2 linked regions of the Lepisosteus oculatus genome follow. The protein of the gene in region 1 binds, or shares a complex with, the protein of each later gene. Links are inferred from orthologs where the notes say so. Each region holds a gene or a part of one and is shown on either strand. Other genes may lie near its edges.

Region 1 (7,940 bases):
AGGAGACGCTGTTTGGTGAAGGGGTAAATAAATTGCTACATCTGTAAATGAGGCATGGCCTACGAATGCATAGCCAAAGGATCCACTCCTGGGTTTTACCAGTGGCAGATATTTGAACCAAGACTGCAGCCTCCAAATGCATAGCAGGTTGATCCAGTTCCAGGTTTTGTAAGCTGCTAAGCTTTTCGACTCCGCCACATGCAACAGCAACTCCGCGAGAGCTGGGCAGACCTTCATCCTGCAGTGCTCATCCCCTAGAACAGAGCACCATGCCGCTCCAGAAACACGTCATCACCGCGCACTGAAAGAAGGACGCTTCACAGGCGCCTTCTGAACCGGAGCTCTGACCATCCGGAAAGGAAGGAGCCGAGTCCCGTTCCGCGTGCAATGTCGCACGGGAGTGTCCCGGGGGAGAAGCTTACTCACTTTCCTCAGGCAGGGCCACTCCCAGTATCGTCCTCTGCTTGACCTCCAGGCTGTTGACCTTCATGGTGAGAGCGGCCAGGCCCTCGTGGATCTCTCTCACCTGCCGGACAGACACGGGGTCCAAGAGGTTAGTGACCGGCGCCCCCACAGGACACGCAGTCCCCCGATTTATTTATAGGGGGCGGTGCTTTTCCGACCCACTGAACGATTCTATCTTCCCAGCATGCCTCAAACGGACAGATCGCTTGTAGGTCTTCCTACACGCACCGGTAACACAGGAAGCCAACACAAGGCAGGTCACAAAAGAGAGGAGGCACATACCCAAGGGGACGTCCACTGGAGGAAATGATTAGTTTCGTTTCGCTACTTTATTGTGCTTTGCGCCCAAGGTTCTTGCGAGGCAGAGACTACTACCAGCTACTGCTCAGCAAGTCAGGCAGAGAAGAGAGACAGGGCTGCGCTGTGTGAACTAAGGGGGGAATTATAGAGAAAACCAGGAGGACGAGCCCAGAGGGATGTATGTACCCAGGACACCAGCCCCACTCCCTACATCGCTCTGCAGAGGATATTTTACGACACACTTTCAACACTGCTCAGCAGGAACTTAAATACATCAATTCTAGTTAAAAGTTCTTCTTGTGACTTTATGGGTTCGTCACACATGGAAACATCAGTGTTGTTCCTGTGGCTGGGATTCCCAGACTGCTCCAGCTTGGATTCAGACCTTCAGGGGTGACCGTCACCGAGGGGACACTAGTCCACCATAGACAGATTCTCATTAACAGGTTCAAGAGTTAAAATTACCTTCTGGAAAAATTCATCGTTCTCATCCTTGGCAGCTTTCTGTGATGTTTTCCCTGTTCCTGGCTTTATCATCAGAGGTCTGCCTTCCTCCTCCTCATCAGAACTCTCCGCCTTCTGCACACAGAGAGAGAGGGGTTCATACAGACACACTGACTGACTGGACACTCCAGTACATTAACACTGCACTGAGAGAGAGGGGTTCATACAGACACACTGACTGACTGGACACTCCAGTACATTAACACTGCACTGAGAGAGAGGGGTTCATACAGACACACTGACTGACTGGACACTCCAGTACATTAACACTGCACTGAGAGAGAGGGGTTCATACAGACACACTGACTGACTGGACACTCCAGTACATTAACACTGCACTGAGAGAGAGGGGTTCATACAGACACACTGACTGGACACTCCAGTACATTAACACTGCACTGAGAGAGAGGGGTTCATACAGACACACTGACTGACTGGACACTCCAGTACATTAACACTGCACTGAGAGAGAGGGGTTCATACAGACACACTGACTGGACACTCCAGTACATTAACACTGCACTGAGAGAGGGATTAATACACTCTTTTACTCACACAGGTGTTGGTATTAATCTGATCTAAGGGGAGTACAACACAGCACTGCAGAGGGAAACCGAAAGCGAGGAGCAACGTTCATCAGTATTTCCACGTTAATACTCTTAGGCTTTATGACAGACTCCAGGGTAGCTCAAGTTGGGACTACTAACACATCCAGAAGAAAATCACCCAAAACAAACAGCACCTTTAATATTAAATTTACCGGTATGCTTGAATATTTAATTCAAAAAGACACTAGGCGTATTAACTCACAACCTCTGTCCGCATACTGCCCAGATTAACCGAGAACCACTGACAGACTGGTACTGTCTGACAGAGGGACACTGTCCGTACTAAGCGCGAGAGACGTTTGGTGGAAAAAACGTGGAGATACTGGGCAGTGGCAGGCGATCATTCAAGTTGACATAAAGACCGTCCCTTGTGGGCGTCCGGGACAAAGTACTCTTATTCCATGCAACAAGTCGAGCTCCTTCGTCCTTTCCGTGTGAAGTTTCGTTTCGGGCTGGACGTCACTGAAGAAGACACCTTCTGTGTGTGTGTGTCAGGAGCCCCCGGACTGCCTGTTGAGGTGGAGCGCTATTTATACACCGGGCAGCCCCGGAGGGGGGTTTGGAGAAACTATTTTTTAAACAGGCCGTCGCTTCTCAGCTCCCGTGTGTTGTTTTCTTAGTGCTTCAGAACATAGCAGAAGATACAACACAGATAACAGGGAACCAGACGATGAGAGGAAGCCCAGATACGCGATTTTAACTGTCTTCCTTCTTTGTCCTTTTAATTTCAACGGGACCTTCACAAATCTATCTTTTATTATTATTATCATGCTTATTTTCCACGATCAGCGCCTCGTCAACGACTGAAGTGCAAAAAAAAAAGGACGAGGGCAAAGCTACCCCCAGCCCTTTCTCGGTGTCGATCGCGACGTAGAAAGTAGCGAGACTGTGTGCCACAACACGCCCAGGGTGCGTGCAAAGCAGACAGCCACCAGCCCGGCTGGCCGAGGGTCGGAGAGACGGGACCGCACTTACATCGCCCAGCTCTCTCGTCCGGTCTCGCATCTCGGCTGCACCCCGACCCCACTCGCATCCAGACCCGACACGGAAAACGGACTTTGCACCCGGGCTCTACGACGGCACGCACTCGACCTCCTCCTGCGCTCCCAGTAAACTTTCCTGCCAGCGGCGCTGCAGCGTGACTCTGCCGGCCAATCACGCCGCCCTCCGGGAGGAAGTCGGGCCCCGCGCATGCGCGGCCGGCCTGCGCAGGGGAGGGCGGGAGCAGGGGGTGGTCTGGGTGTCGCTTATTGTGATTCCTTCGGAATGGAAGTGATTTATTCTCCGGTTGAGAACAATTTAAGGGGGTTTAAACTATCCCTGACCCCTTTCATTAATGACAGTGCGGTAGTCATTCGCGTTGCTCGCTAGGGGGCCCTGGTGTTCCAACTGCAGTTGTTCCCAGAAGAATCATTAACGTCATTCAGCCAACGCAGCACATCACTACTCGGGGCAAAGTGTTTATAGTATTACAATCTAGCGGACTTTATAGATCGATAAAATACATAAATCAGGCGACACAACAGCGAGCACAAAACGGAGCATTTAAAAACTTGGCTCTATCCGAGGAACCGATGTTTCAGTGGTGGTTGCAGTAGTGTTTGGGTGAAACACGAACCAGAGGGCACGAGTGACAGTTGCAAGGAAGCGCATTTAAAATTCAGAGCAGGAGGCAGCATTTTACACAAAGGGTGGTGGGAGTGTGGAACAAGCTGCCCAGCCATGTTGTTGAAGCCGATACCTTGTTTCAGGACACAGCTGTATGAGATCCTGATGATCTCACTCTTCATATACTGTAGATATGCAGTACCAGTACCAGTCAAAGGTACTGTGTGAAACCAGGTTTTTCCATCATTATCTGTAGTTTAAACTGTATAAACTTGTTAATCAACACTTAATATTTAATTACATGATACTGTATGTGAACTTATAATCTTAGGTGAACTGCATTGAAAATGTTAATTTTTCATTTTCAATAAAATGAATACTCAAAGCAAGCAGTCTGAAGCCCAGGTTAATTAAAAGTCAGAAATGTGTATAACACGGTGTTAGCACACTAAAAGAAGTTTGAAATTGTCTTTGTTAGATGTTCCCACAGTTTACTAGCATGTTACCTCATTTACCTTTTGTAAAGACACACGTGATTATTATAAATATAGGGAGCATGGGCAAACGTTTGTCATTCCTGAATGAACATAGCAAAATTTGCTCAGCAAGCAAGGAAGAAACACAGTTTATAATTACTTTAAGAAATGAAAGTCAATCTTTAAGACAAATTGCAAGAACAAATTGCTAGTGTCAGTAACTGCTGTGGCCAAGACTATCAAACGATATGAAGAATCTGGCACTCAGGAGGACCGAAAAAGATCAGGCAGGCCAAAGGTGACCTCAGAATCAGAGAATACGTTCATTAGAGTCACAAGTCTGCCAAACTGGCGACTAACTGACCCTGAAATACAGGCTGAGCTCAGTGCAACTAGAAGACCAGATGTTTCAGAGGAGTTCACCTGTTCAGAGGAGGTTGCGTGAAGCTGGCCTCAAAGGTCCATTTTCTGTGTTTTTTGGCCCAGGCAGGTCTCTTCTTCTTATTCTGCACTCTTAACAAGGGTGTCTTTGCAGCAGTCTTCCTGGTAGGCCAGCGTCACACCGCCGCCTCTGAAAATGATCCAAAACGATCCTTTGCTTTGAGACTGTGTGTTTTTGTTTTTGCAAATTGAAGTGTGCTTTTCCTTCTAACGCTCGGTGTCACTTCACATCATTAATAAACCAGGCCAGTTTGTGGGTCAGCAGTTCCCACCGTGTTTCTGTTAACTACTGCGCACACACAGTATTTATCACTGCCCAGATCCACTGATCTTCAGATCTGGGGCTCTTGGCAGGACCAGGAAAGTGCTACAGAGTTGCAGCCTTCAGAGTTTTAGCCTTGCAGTTTTCAGCCCAGCCAGATCAATCAGTGAAAATCCATCTGTCACCCTCTTCCAAACTACAGTAACACATCTTTATTGATTCATGACGCAAAGTGAAAATACAATCTTTAGCGATTTCTTGTTCTTTTAAAAAAGCTGTACTGTATATATGATCATTAATGTTTTTAATTTGTGCCTGTTCCTGTTTTTAAGCTAAGGTTATTACTGTCGTTTTGAATGGAAGAGTTTACATTAAAACAGATGAGATGGAGAAAATAGTTTTATCTGAAATACTCCCATGCACACGATTCCTACGTCGAAAATACTCCAGTCCACACGATTCTTATATAGAAAATACTCCAGTCCACACGATTAATATATCCAAAATACTCCAGTCCACCCTATTCCTATATCTGAAATACTCCAGTGCACACAATTCCTACATCTGAAATACTCCAGTCCCAAGATTCTTATATCCAAAATACTCCAGTCCACATGATTCTGATATCGAAAATACTAAAGTCTACACAATTCTTATATCGAAAATACTCCAGTCCACACAATTCTTATATCCAAAATACTTATCCAAAATACTTAGTGCATATATTCCCTGTATCTGAAAAACTCCAGTCCACACTATCCCTATATCTGAGATACTCCAGTCCACACTATTCCTGTATCTGAAATAGTCCAGTCCACACACTTAATTCCCAAGTCTCCACCCGTGTCATCAGATGGTGCAGACACCACACCTGTCGTGAGGTTCTTACTTGTTAACAGTGCAGGTGTAGTCGAACAGCAGACAAGCTGTGTGTTTAGAGCGCCATCTGCTGGGATAGCCTGACTCTCTTTCTCACCCTAACCTTGGCTGGAAACTTCATCCTTCACCTGTCAAATTCAGATCTTTCTTGACATGAGTGATGAATTACAGTGCCGCCAAAGTACTACCCATTATTAGGCTGTGACAGGAGATCACACACAGGACTGCAGCTCTGCTGCATTTCCTCCCTCAGTACAGGACTGGGAGCTGTTCCTGTTCTGCCAGCTGATGGAATTCTTAGATTATTTTAGGGAAGAATGTATACTACTAGAGTATTTCTTGTAGTGCTGCAGAAAGTGCATCTCCTCTTCTGTTTTGCCTTGCTGTCCTCTCTAGGCAGCCAGGCCTGTCTGTGTCCAGTTTCCATGTCCAGTCTGTGTTCACTGAGCCTGTCCTCCCTGGACAGCCAGGTCTGTATGTGTCCAGTTTCCATGTCCAGTCTGTGGTCACTGGGCCTGTCTTCTCTAGATAGCCAGGTCTGCCTGTGTCCAGTTTCTATGTCCAGACTGTGGTCACTGAGCCTGTCCTCTCTGGACAGCCAGCTCTGCAGGTGTATTAGGCAGACCAGAGAAAAGCCCTGTACTCCGTCCTCTGGGAACGCAGCATGGACAGAGCAGTCCTGGCCCTTGTTCTGTTGGCAGGCAGCAGAGTTCCAGAGGGAAGAGAGCCAGCATCCTTGATTATAAATCAGTGTTTCCCCCAGAATACCTCTGGATATTCGATTTGAGCTTTGGCAGCGACTGAGGAACTGTTGCAAACTGCAGGCACACAGAACGACCTGGCTCCCAGCCCTGGTGACTTTCTATATTTTAATCTAGCAGGGGATTAATACGGGCTGAGGAAGATGATGACGAAGATGATGGAGATGCTGTACTTAATATATATGTATCTACAGTCTATGGAGAGTGAGACAGAAAAGGGGCGTGTGTGCTTCATCAGGTAGAGATACGAGAGAGTCAGGGGGCTAATGGAGGTGATGGCGACAGGAAGATGAGCCAATCAATCAATCCACCAACCAATTCATCAATCCATCCGTGTTTTTGACAGTTTTATCCAGTTCAAGGCCGCAGGGGAGCCAGAGCCTATTCCTGCAAGCCCAGGTGACGGGCTCGAGCACGGTCCACCCTGTCCATCACGGGACAGACAGACACAGGCTCACACCCGGGCCGGTTTTCCCAGAAGCCAATTCAGCTCCCAGCGTGCCTCTGGACTGCGGGAGGAAACCGGCGCACCAGGAGGAGACCCACACGAGCACGGGGAGAAGGGCACTGGCCGCCCTCACTGGGGGGACCCTGATGGCCCTCGGCCCGCAGTCAGCTCTGGCAGGATCTCCTGCTGCAGAGGCGATGGGGGTGACCAGCCCACGAACGTGAGAGCCCAGACTGACAGCAGAGTGCACCGTGGGACACGGCGCGCTTGAGGAAGCTACAGTGCTTCACTGAGACATCTTTCATGTCTTCTAGCCCATCGGCTCTCAGTCCTAATCCTGGGGGACGGCTCACCGATTCACTCTCACTCTCACCTATGATCTGAACCTCACAGTGCCTTCTTCCTTTCTTTCTTACCAAAAACTCAAACACACATTGAAAATCTACCTCTACCTCACATGTCAAAAGCTCACTCCCAATCATTTCTATCCCTTTATTTTCTTCTGTTGATGCATATTTTTGCACATACCCTGTTACCTTTTTGTTGTTTTGCACATTGCCTGTTGTTGTTTTTTGCACATCGTGTGTTGTTGTTGTTTTGCACATTGCCTGTTGTTGTTTTTTTGCACATCGTCTGTTGTTGTTTTTTGCACACTGCCTGTTGTCTCTGTCTTTCTTTTGCTACACAATTGTATTGTTGTTGTTGTTTTTCTCTTTGTACTACTTATGTCCGAGAGCTAGCTAAATAGCATTTCGTTATACCCTATACCATGTATATGAGTGTAATGACAATTAACTTGAAACTTGAACCGATGACTTCAGCTGGATTGTTCATTGCAGGCTAACTGATTCCAGCTTTCCTACTGCGGCGCCATTTGAACGTTTTTCGGAATCTCCCGAAGTGCCGGATGGGAGCGGTCGGCAAGCGGAACCGGGCCTGGGTCGAAGCCGGAACATTCAGAACCGCCCTCAGTGGCGTGTGTGAGCTGAATCGGACCAGCGGGACTGGAACAAAAAAAGGAAAGCGCCCGGTGTTGACACAGCGTCGTTCCCAGTCTCTGCCTCCTCATCGCCAACCGGTCTCCTGCTCTGAGCTGTTGAGGGAAATATACGAGTCCTTCATTTTCATTCTTTGCTGATTAGGCTCTGTTCTCAACAAGCTGCAATATGTTCAGACCTCTGCAGCTGA
Region 2 (7,629 bases), on another chromosome or scaffold:
GAGGCACAGCTTCGCCGGCCGCGCAGAGGGCAGGGATACTCACATCGTCTGTGATGCACAGGTAAATGATCCTGTCCTGACAGACGTAATGAAAGAGATAGCTGCAAAGAAAGGGGAGAAGGGGAAGTGAAAACAGTGCACGCAGGCAGCCACTCAGGCTTCGTTAGGTAAGCATTGCTGAAGCGGAAACTGAAAGACAGCTGTCCACGCTCCTCAAGAGGCAGCTTGGAGAAGCTCTTGTTTCTGGCTGATCCACGCAGCGCCGTTCCAGCTTGGAATTAAAAACCAGGGTGAATATTAAATTCACTTTTTTGAGTATGCATTTGAGCCATCCGTTACTCTTGGTTTTGAATTATTCACAGAGCCCCGTGAGGATTGCGCTACGTGGAAAAAAATGGTCTTAAGGTGCCCGAGTGGGAAAAAGGCACTTGCAGGCTGAGCTCTGTGATCCAGACCGGGAGATGGAACCAGCTGGCTGTGACTGGACTCCCCAGCAGGTGGCACGCAGTTGCCTGAGCACCAAGTGGGGTGGGGGTGGGATGATTCGGGCCCAGGAGAAACAGCGACCCCTGCAGGCCTGTGGTGACGCCCAGGAAGGGCGCGCGCCTCTCCTCCAATCGAGGCGGTACCTGCTGTACGTTATGGCCGAGTCTACAGCGGGTGGGTAGGGCTGGAGAAACCTTCCAGCACTTTCTCACTGTCCTTGTATGGGGTCACCACAGTGGGCTGAGTCTTAGGAACAGCTAACCTAATCGTAAAAGGTAGTTAGTTAGGCATAACAACACAACTGGCAACTCCAAATTGGGCAGATATAGGATAAGAAGCAATTGACAATGAAAACAATGCTCCTAAGGTGTTAGGCTTAGGGAAGTGATCAAGCAAGAGTGCTTTTCCAATCCCAGCAGAGGGCTGTTGCACTCCCCAAAAGTCAAGTTTTGCAAGCTGGCAGCCAGACACTCGGAACAGAGCCCCCTGGTGGCCGGCACGGGAGGGACACTCACTTGCTGTGGGAGTAGGTCAGCTTGTTGTTCTCCGACGGGATCTTGGCCAGGATCTGCTCCGTCACCTCCAGGAAGTTCCCGCCACACCAGGCGTGCTTGGCCAGGATCGTGGTGCCGCGCGCCACCACCGCAAACAGGATCGCCATGGCAACAGGAGCAGGAGGAGGGGTGATGAGGACGGGGGGGGGCTTGCGGAGGAGAAACCACTGGGAAGCAGCCCGCAAGCGTGCGAGTGGGGTGGGAGCACGGAAAGCGAGGCTGGGGCACTTGACTGCATCAGAGACACAAGACAGAAGGAGAAAGGTGTGAGGGTAAGATAAGATAAGATCACTTTATTGGCATATACAATTAGGAATTTGGCCATTAGGCATTAGGAATGTGTCTTTTCGCATACCCCAACTTGCTCTCCATGAGACACACAGACAGGGAGAGAAGCTTGAGGTCAGAGCGCAGGGTCAGACATTTATACCACGCCCCTGGAGCAGTTGGGGGTTAGGGGCCTTGCTCAGGGTAGGAGTAGGATTCCTCTGCCGGCCACAGGATTTGAACCGGCAACCTTCCAGCCACAGGCGCAGATCCTTAGCCACAGTACCACTGCTCCGCCCTAGTAATGTAGCGCTTTCGGGCTCACGTGGGTATGCGCCCTGCCAGCTGGGGAATCAAACCCGGGCCTCCGGCGTCACAAAACAGGGAAGCAGCCAGTCGAGCTACAGTGAGATCTGCCCCTCCCCATGACCTGCCACTCCCACTACTGCGCTCTGTAGGTTAGAAGCCCTCAAATGTCACCCGAGGCTGACTACCAGCTTCGACAGTCATGAATCGGACTGGCCCCCGGTCCACGGTTCACAGTGCTCACCCAGCACCTGCTTGGGCTCGAGCGCACTAAGCCATTCTACCCCATTGGGTGTGTACTGGGGCACAGGAATGCTCATGTGACACAAGGCATGTGATACAGCTCTGAACACAGCACAGGTACCGACTAGCGGGCCAGTAAACCCTTCCAGCTTCACCTTGGAGGACGGAGGGCAGTGTCTGGCTGCGTGCCACTGTGCACACCGACCGCCCAGGTGCGTGCGGTCGCTGGTCAGGGGGGTATGATCCGACCTGATCCACTTGTATGGATACAAAATTCCATTTGTATGGCTACAGGATTTCCCATACAGCTGTTGAAACAGGCCGGCTACCTTTACAAGCGCATTTGACCGCCGGCTGAGATTAACACCCGTCTCCGGGCTTCAGAGCTGCCCAGTGTAACGCGAACGGAAGACACCGGCCCTGGAATCCCACACCTCAGCTCACTCCGGGCTGCAAACGCACGCTAACTGCCCACCTGCCCCGGGATCCACCGCTCAGCCGCGCGCGCACGCCGGCGACGCCGTGCTAATTTAAACAACACTTTTTCCAATGCACCCCCCCCAAAAAAAACCGTTTGATTTCAGAAATACATGTTCCTGCAAACTATACGTCATTCCGATCCGGAAAGGAGTATTTTAAGTTCCCAAATCGTTTCAGCCCCCCGTCTTGTAACCACAAGAGCCGATTTCACCATCAGCTCTTCACCATGTAGCTGGAACAGACCGTGTTAACAGTCTCACACTGACTGTTCAACAGTGTCGGTTACACTGCGGTACCACTTTAAGCCGCGTTATCTGCCAGAGCTCGGAACATGAATTACCTTAGAATAAGAGCATATTCTAAAGTCTATTTCAATAGCTCCTAAACGACCTCCGCTGTGTTTTAGACAGCCCGCGTGGACCCCCCAAAAGCTCTTCTAACATGATTTTGTCAGCTTTCTCTTTCAATTCTGGAGACCTCTATACACACAGACACCTCCGTTTCTCCGACATGTCATACGCCGTAGATTGCAACGATACAGCCGTCGTAACACACCGCCATTAATCGTGCCCCGTACTGTACCTCTGAATCGCCTTCCGTGAAAACTACCTTCGGAACGGCCCTCTTTAAAATAAAAAACAGCGTATATTTCCGTAATCCTTCCCGTCCGTACGTATGTTTTTAATTCCCAGTTCTGAGTCACCTGGTGCTCCTCTGACGGACCACTTTCGTCTGTCCCTTGGAATCATGGGGCTTGTAGTTTACAACCTCTGCTGCGGGAAAAAGACTTTACGGGCTCAAAATATAACATTTGACTCGAAGCTGCCTTTGGAAATTAACTTACTGCAAACAAAACAACACGTAAGGAGCGAGTGAAGCGGTTTTAAAGGCATCATTCGGAAGTTAGAAAAACTTTTAAGTTTGATGTATCCGTTTAAATCAGTTCACTCTAATCCCCGTTTGTATTCTCTGGGACGACAAGGTTCTTGTTTTAGAAGGTTTTTTTAACTATGTAACTGTAAGTCGATTTTAAAAAGTGGATTTTACAATCGATGTAACATTGTTTCACTGTGCCTTGGCAGTAAACATTTTAGAAACGAGACAATCTAAGAAGGCGTCCGTGTAGTGGAATTCCACTACATTACCCACATTTCCTTGCGCTGCCCTGTCTAATACGTCACATTGGTGCGCCAAAGGAGATCGGTAACAAGCATGGCCACCGGTGAGGATGAGAAGAGACCTGTGCTGGAAGTGGTGAGTACTGTTCTGAGTGACCGTTTAAATGAAAATGCGATAAACTCAATGCACAAGCCCATAGTCTATTTTAGGAGTGGGGTGTGATTTGCGTCTGGTATTTGAAATTAAAATACGGTCACGGCGAACTTGGCATCAACGTGTCTACTCTGGCAATTGTCAGTTGGGGAAATTCTGTGATTTCCTTGAGCGAACCGATTTCGGTGAAAAATCTTACTGAAAGGAGCAGTTGCAGCATCATGTGCAGGGATTTAGCGAGTTTTGTTTCTCCGAAATCTTATCTCATGTCCCATATTTACCGCGCGACTCTCAAAACCCCCCAGAAAACAGACCACTACCTGAGAAAGCAGGGTTTATGGCAGTCCTTGTCTAAGCTAACTGTTCCCGTAGCCTAAAACGGTATACTAGCTATATTTCATATGGCCAGTTGTTCTCTATAACCTACTTAAGCGTCTTGGGAAAAATATCTGAAGGATAAGACGAACAACAAAAATAATTTCGTTATCGGCTGGATAAAATGAAAATGAAGTACGGTTTCTGTCACACTAGGGAGACTTTGTATGTCTGGACAACTTTCCAGACGATGGAGAGTTGTACGCTGCAGAATTATTTCTGTGTGAAATTGTGAAGTTTCTAGAGTGTTTTCATTTTTCTCGGCGATACCACCTTTTACCAGCTAGGGGGCACCCGGAGGTAGTGCTGCCGCTGACCAGCAGATCCTTATAATTGTGATTTCTTCCTGCGATCTGCGGGGATTATCACGTCCACCCAGCTCAAACACCCAGATTTCCCAGTTTCACACAAAAAAGGCTGAATTCCATCTCCCGTTGAAAAAGAGCTGAAGGTATTAAACATGTTTTGTTAGCTGTTTTTGCTTTTAAGTACATAGTGTTCTTTTTTTCCACGTTTCCTAAAAATGACTTGGAATGTTGTCTTGAAAAGTGGGAGCAGGGAATAGAGTTTCTGTAGCTGTCTGGGCAGACAGAGGCCTTCCTGTGAAAAAGACATGCTCCACCACAGGGGATCACAGAGGCCTCACGTGCAGCTCCAGTCAGGCAGGCTAGAGCTGCAGCCAAACCTGAATTCTGCCCTTTCTCTTAGGCCCAGAGGTGCCTCTCTTTCCCTCCTCAAAACCTCATCCTTAATCGCCGCAGTACTCGCTATGAAAGCTTGCTCGCTGCGCTTGTCAGCTTACTACTGGGCTTTCCGTTCCAGCTCCTCGTGAGCCGAAGGAGTCTTCTGGGTATCTCCACAGCCGGGCTCCCCCTTCATCGTGCCCTTCATCGATCGTCCGGCTTGGGAAATTGTGAAGCCTGGTTTTTCGGCTCCTAGCCTTTCATTTCTCTCACTGCTTCAGAGCAGAAATCAAAAAGATTGAATGAATCCGGGTATGAGCCCCGAACAAGGGGTTGATTGGCTGACCAAGGGTTGAGTAAGAGTCATGCCATCAGACAGCGGGGCCACAAGGACAGTGATCGAGACATCCCACCATCAGGGTTTCACACTGCTGCTCGGCACTCTGATTATTAAATGCAGATCCTGGTGCTTTGGGCAAGAGTGTGGCCTTGTTGTCCTGAAAAAGGAGCAGCAGAAGGATCCAAACTGCAAAAATGCCAGGATACAGCAGGATGGGCACTTTATCGTGTATCCCTAAAGTGCGTTAGCCACATTTTGCCCATCTTAAGCAAGGTGACGCCATTTCATTTACACAGACGTGGTCGGCGAACAGACTTCCGCTCAGGATGCGCACACCAGCGCGAGTCGCCTCACCCAGCCTGTTTGCAGGTCGTTTTGGCCGCCTGGTGATTTCCGAGAGGTCCTGATTGCCGCGGTGCCCTTTGTCTTCCGCAGGTGCAGGCGGAGGGCGGGGATGACTCCTGTGTGACGTTTGTGCTGCACGACGAGGACCACACTCTGGGCAATGCCCTGCGCTACATGGTCATGAAAAAGTGAGTTTCCCCTCTCTGTCTGGAGGTCCCGAGTCCTGGTGCACAAGCGCTCTGACAATCGCTTTCAGATATACTGGCCGCTGGCTTTTGTACCGATGGTTTCTTTGGTTTCATATACTGTAATATGTTAACTTGATACATGGCTGAGCTCAAAACAGCTTTTCGGACTTCCGGTATCAAGCACAGCCTTAACGTGTGGGAGACTGCAGCTCTTAAACCCCGGAATGTTTTAAATGGCTGTGCAGTGGAGTATTTCTTCAATTGCATCGACCTCTACGTTTGTCGTGTGTCGCTGTGTTGAAAATAGTCAATGACGTGTTAAAGAGCCGCCGGGTTCATGTGCGTTTTGTGTTGCACAGCCCCGAAGTCGAGTTCTGTGGGTACAGCATCACTCACCCCTCAGAGAGTAAGATTAACTTCCGGATCCAGACACGAGGTGAGTGCCTGTGTGCGTGTGTGCGTGCGTGTGTGATCTCAGACTCCTGACGGGTGACACGGGGACAATCTGAAATTGTAAACAAAAAAACAATTTTCAGATCTGCACGTCGCAAAAAATATCTAGTTTTTGCTTGTGCTCTTAATCCCCTTGCTGTTTCATTTCACCGAAGGCTGGCATGTTAAATCGAAATGGGGGTCCACGAAAATGGACGAAGGCAAATGTGTGTCTCTGGGGGGCTCCCAAACACCACAGCTCCCCCTCATTCGTGGGACGCTCTGTGGCGTGTTTGTTGCAGAGACTTTCCCCACCTGCCAGGAAAGCCCACGAAGACACCGGTTCCTCTGAGCAGCGTGAATCAAGCTTTGTTCTTGGTTATGTGGTAGTCGGCTTTCTTTGTGTGGAGCCCTGTGTTAATATTGGCATCACAAGTGTTTTTGTGTGGATCCAGCCCTTCTCTCTCTCCTTCTGCAGCAGACGGTTATTATCCGCAGAGAGAGATAATGGGGTCTGTTTCCATAGTTGGGAAATGGCTATTTTGGCTTTTTCTTTTTGATGTCCCTGGTGCTCTTCTTGGAGAGGTTGCACAGCAGAGCTGCATGAGCGTGTTTTGGCTGCTCTGCGTACGTGAGCTCCACAGTGACAGCCTGACCGGCCAGAAAAAGGCCTTTCACTGTGTCGCAGTGCCGTGGTCCCTTCAGTCTTTTTTGTTTTGGTGAATAGTTCTGCTCATTTTTATGGAGTGGGGGCAGAATTCAGTTTTTAAAATTAGATTATGAAACGATCCCTGGTGACAGTGTGTAGCCTCGGAGCAGAGCCCTTTTTTCTGGCAGGAAGCCCAGGACCACAGAAACAAAACCGCCTTTTGCTCCTAATTGTATTAGCTGCTTTAGAGGAGCACATTGGAGCAGGAAGAGGGATAATGGGTTTTTAACTGGGGTCCATAGAGGGGCCTCCGTTTTCAATCTGTTACACGCTGGGTTGCAGGAGCCGACCAGCTGTTGTTCCCAGAGTCTGGGAGCAGCGCATTTGTCACAGTTTGTACACCCTTAAGCACCTTCCCCCAGCCCAGCTCCAGAACGATGACCGTCCAAGTAGAAGAGGTCATCTAAAAATACAAAGAACAAGTGTAGAGCATCATGTACCTGCAGAAAGACACAGAGTATAGCTGATCACCTGGTGATCCTGGTCTGCTTTTATTTGTGCAGTGAGTTTTCCCCCCAGCTCTGAGGCTAATTTATGCACAGAAAAACAACATAGTCTTGACTATGTGGCTTTTTTTAAAAGAACAGTCCCAACCCCCGGGTCTGCTGCTCTGGCAGTACATAAAAAAAGCAGGGCAATTATCTGTTAAATGTGCAAAACCCCAGAGCCGACATGGCTGATTGAAGTCTGGTGCTTGTTGTTCAGACAGCTGTGTGAGGAATCTGGCTCCTGCTCTTTCTCTCTCTCTCTCCAGCTCTCTTCTGTCTCGGGAGCTGGTGCTGCCCGTACGGTCCTTCACGGAGACAGGTTTGCAGTTGCAATTGACAAAAGCATTTTATGAGGAACACATGGATATATAGGCTGCAGAGCAAAATGGTACCTGGAGAAAGACCGTTTCAGGGATCTGCGATCTTTGTTCATGACGGGTTGTAATTTTCTTTTGGGTTCT

The links. Proteins that work in one complex are often made in the same cells at the same time.
Region 2: stx4 (region 1) and sybl1 share a complex: the UniProt entries of both Homo sapiens proteins name them as parts of the SNARE complex. The link is inferred for Lepisosteus oculatus from reciprocal best matches to the Homo sapiens genes STX4 and VAMP7.

The regions. Positions count from the first base shown.
Region 1 is NC_090699.1:15,298,349-15,306,288, reverse strand, and holds the start of stx4 (syntaxin-4), read right to left. Parts: upstream 3,042-7,940; 5' UTR 2,883-3,041; coding exon 2,853-2,882; intron 1,345-2,852; coding exon 1,231-1,344; intron 527-1,230; coding exon 427-526; intron 1-426. UniProt on the Homo sapiens protein: Plasma membrane t-SNARE that mediates docking of transport vesicles. Necessary for the translocation of SLC2A4 from intracellular vesicles to the plasma membrane.
Region 2 is NC_090703.1:47,620,195-47,627,823, forward strand, and holds the start of sybl1 (vesicle-associated membrane protein 7), read right to left. Parts: upstream 3,072-7,629; 5' UTR 2,919-3,071; intron 1,273-2,918; 5' UTR 1,148-1,272; coding exon 1,002-1,147; intron 102-1,001; coding exon 44-101; intron 1-43. Other genes in the region: polr1d (DNA-directed RNA polymerases I and III subunit RPAC2), read left to right, coding at 3,549-3,590, 5,442-5,539, 5,899-5,975. UniProt on the Homo sapiens protein: Involved in the targeting and/or fusion of transport vesicles to their target membrane during transport of proteins from the early endosome to the lysosome. Required for heterotypic fusion of late endosomes with lysosomes and homotypic lysosomal fusion.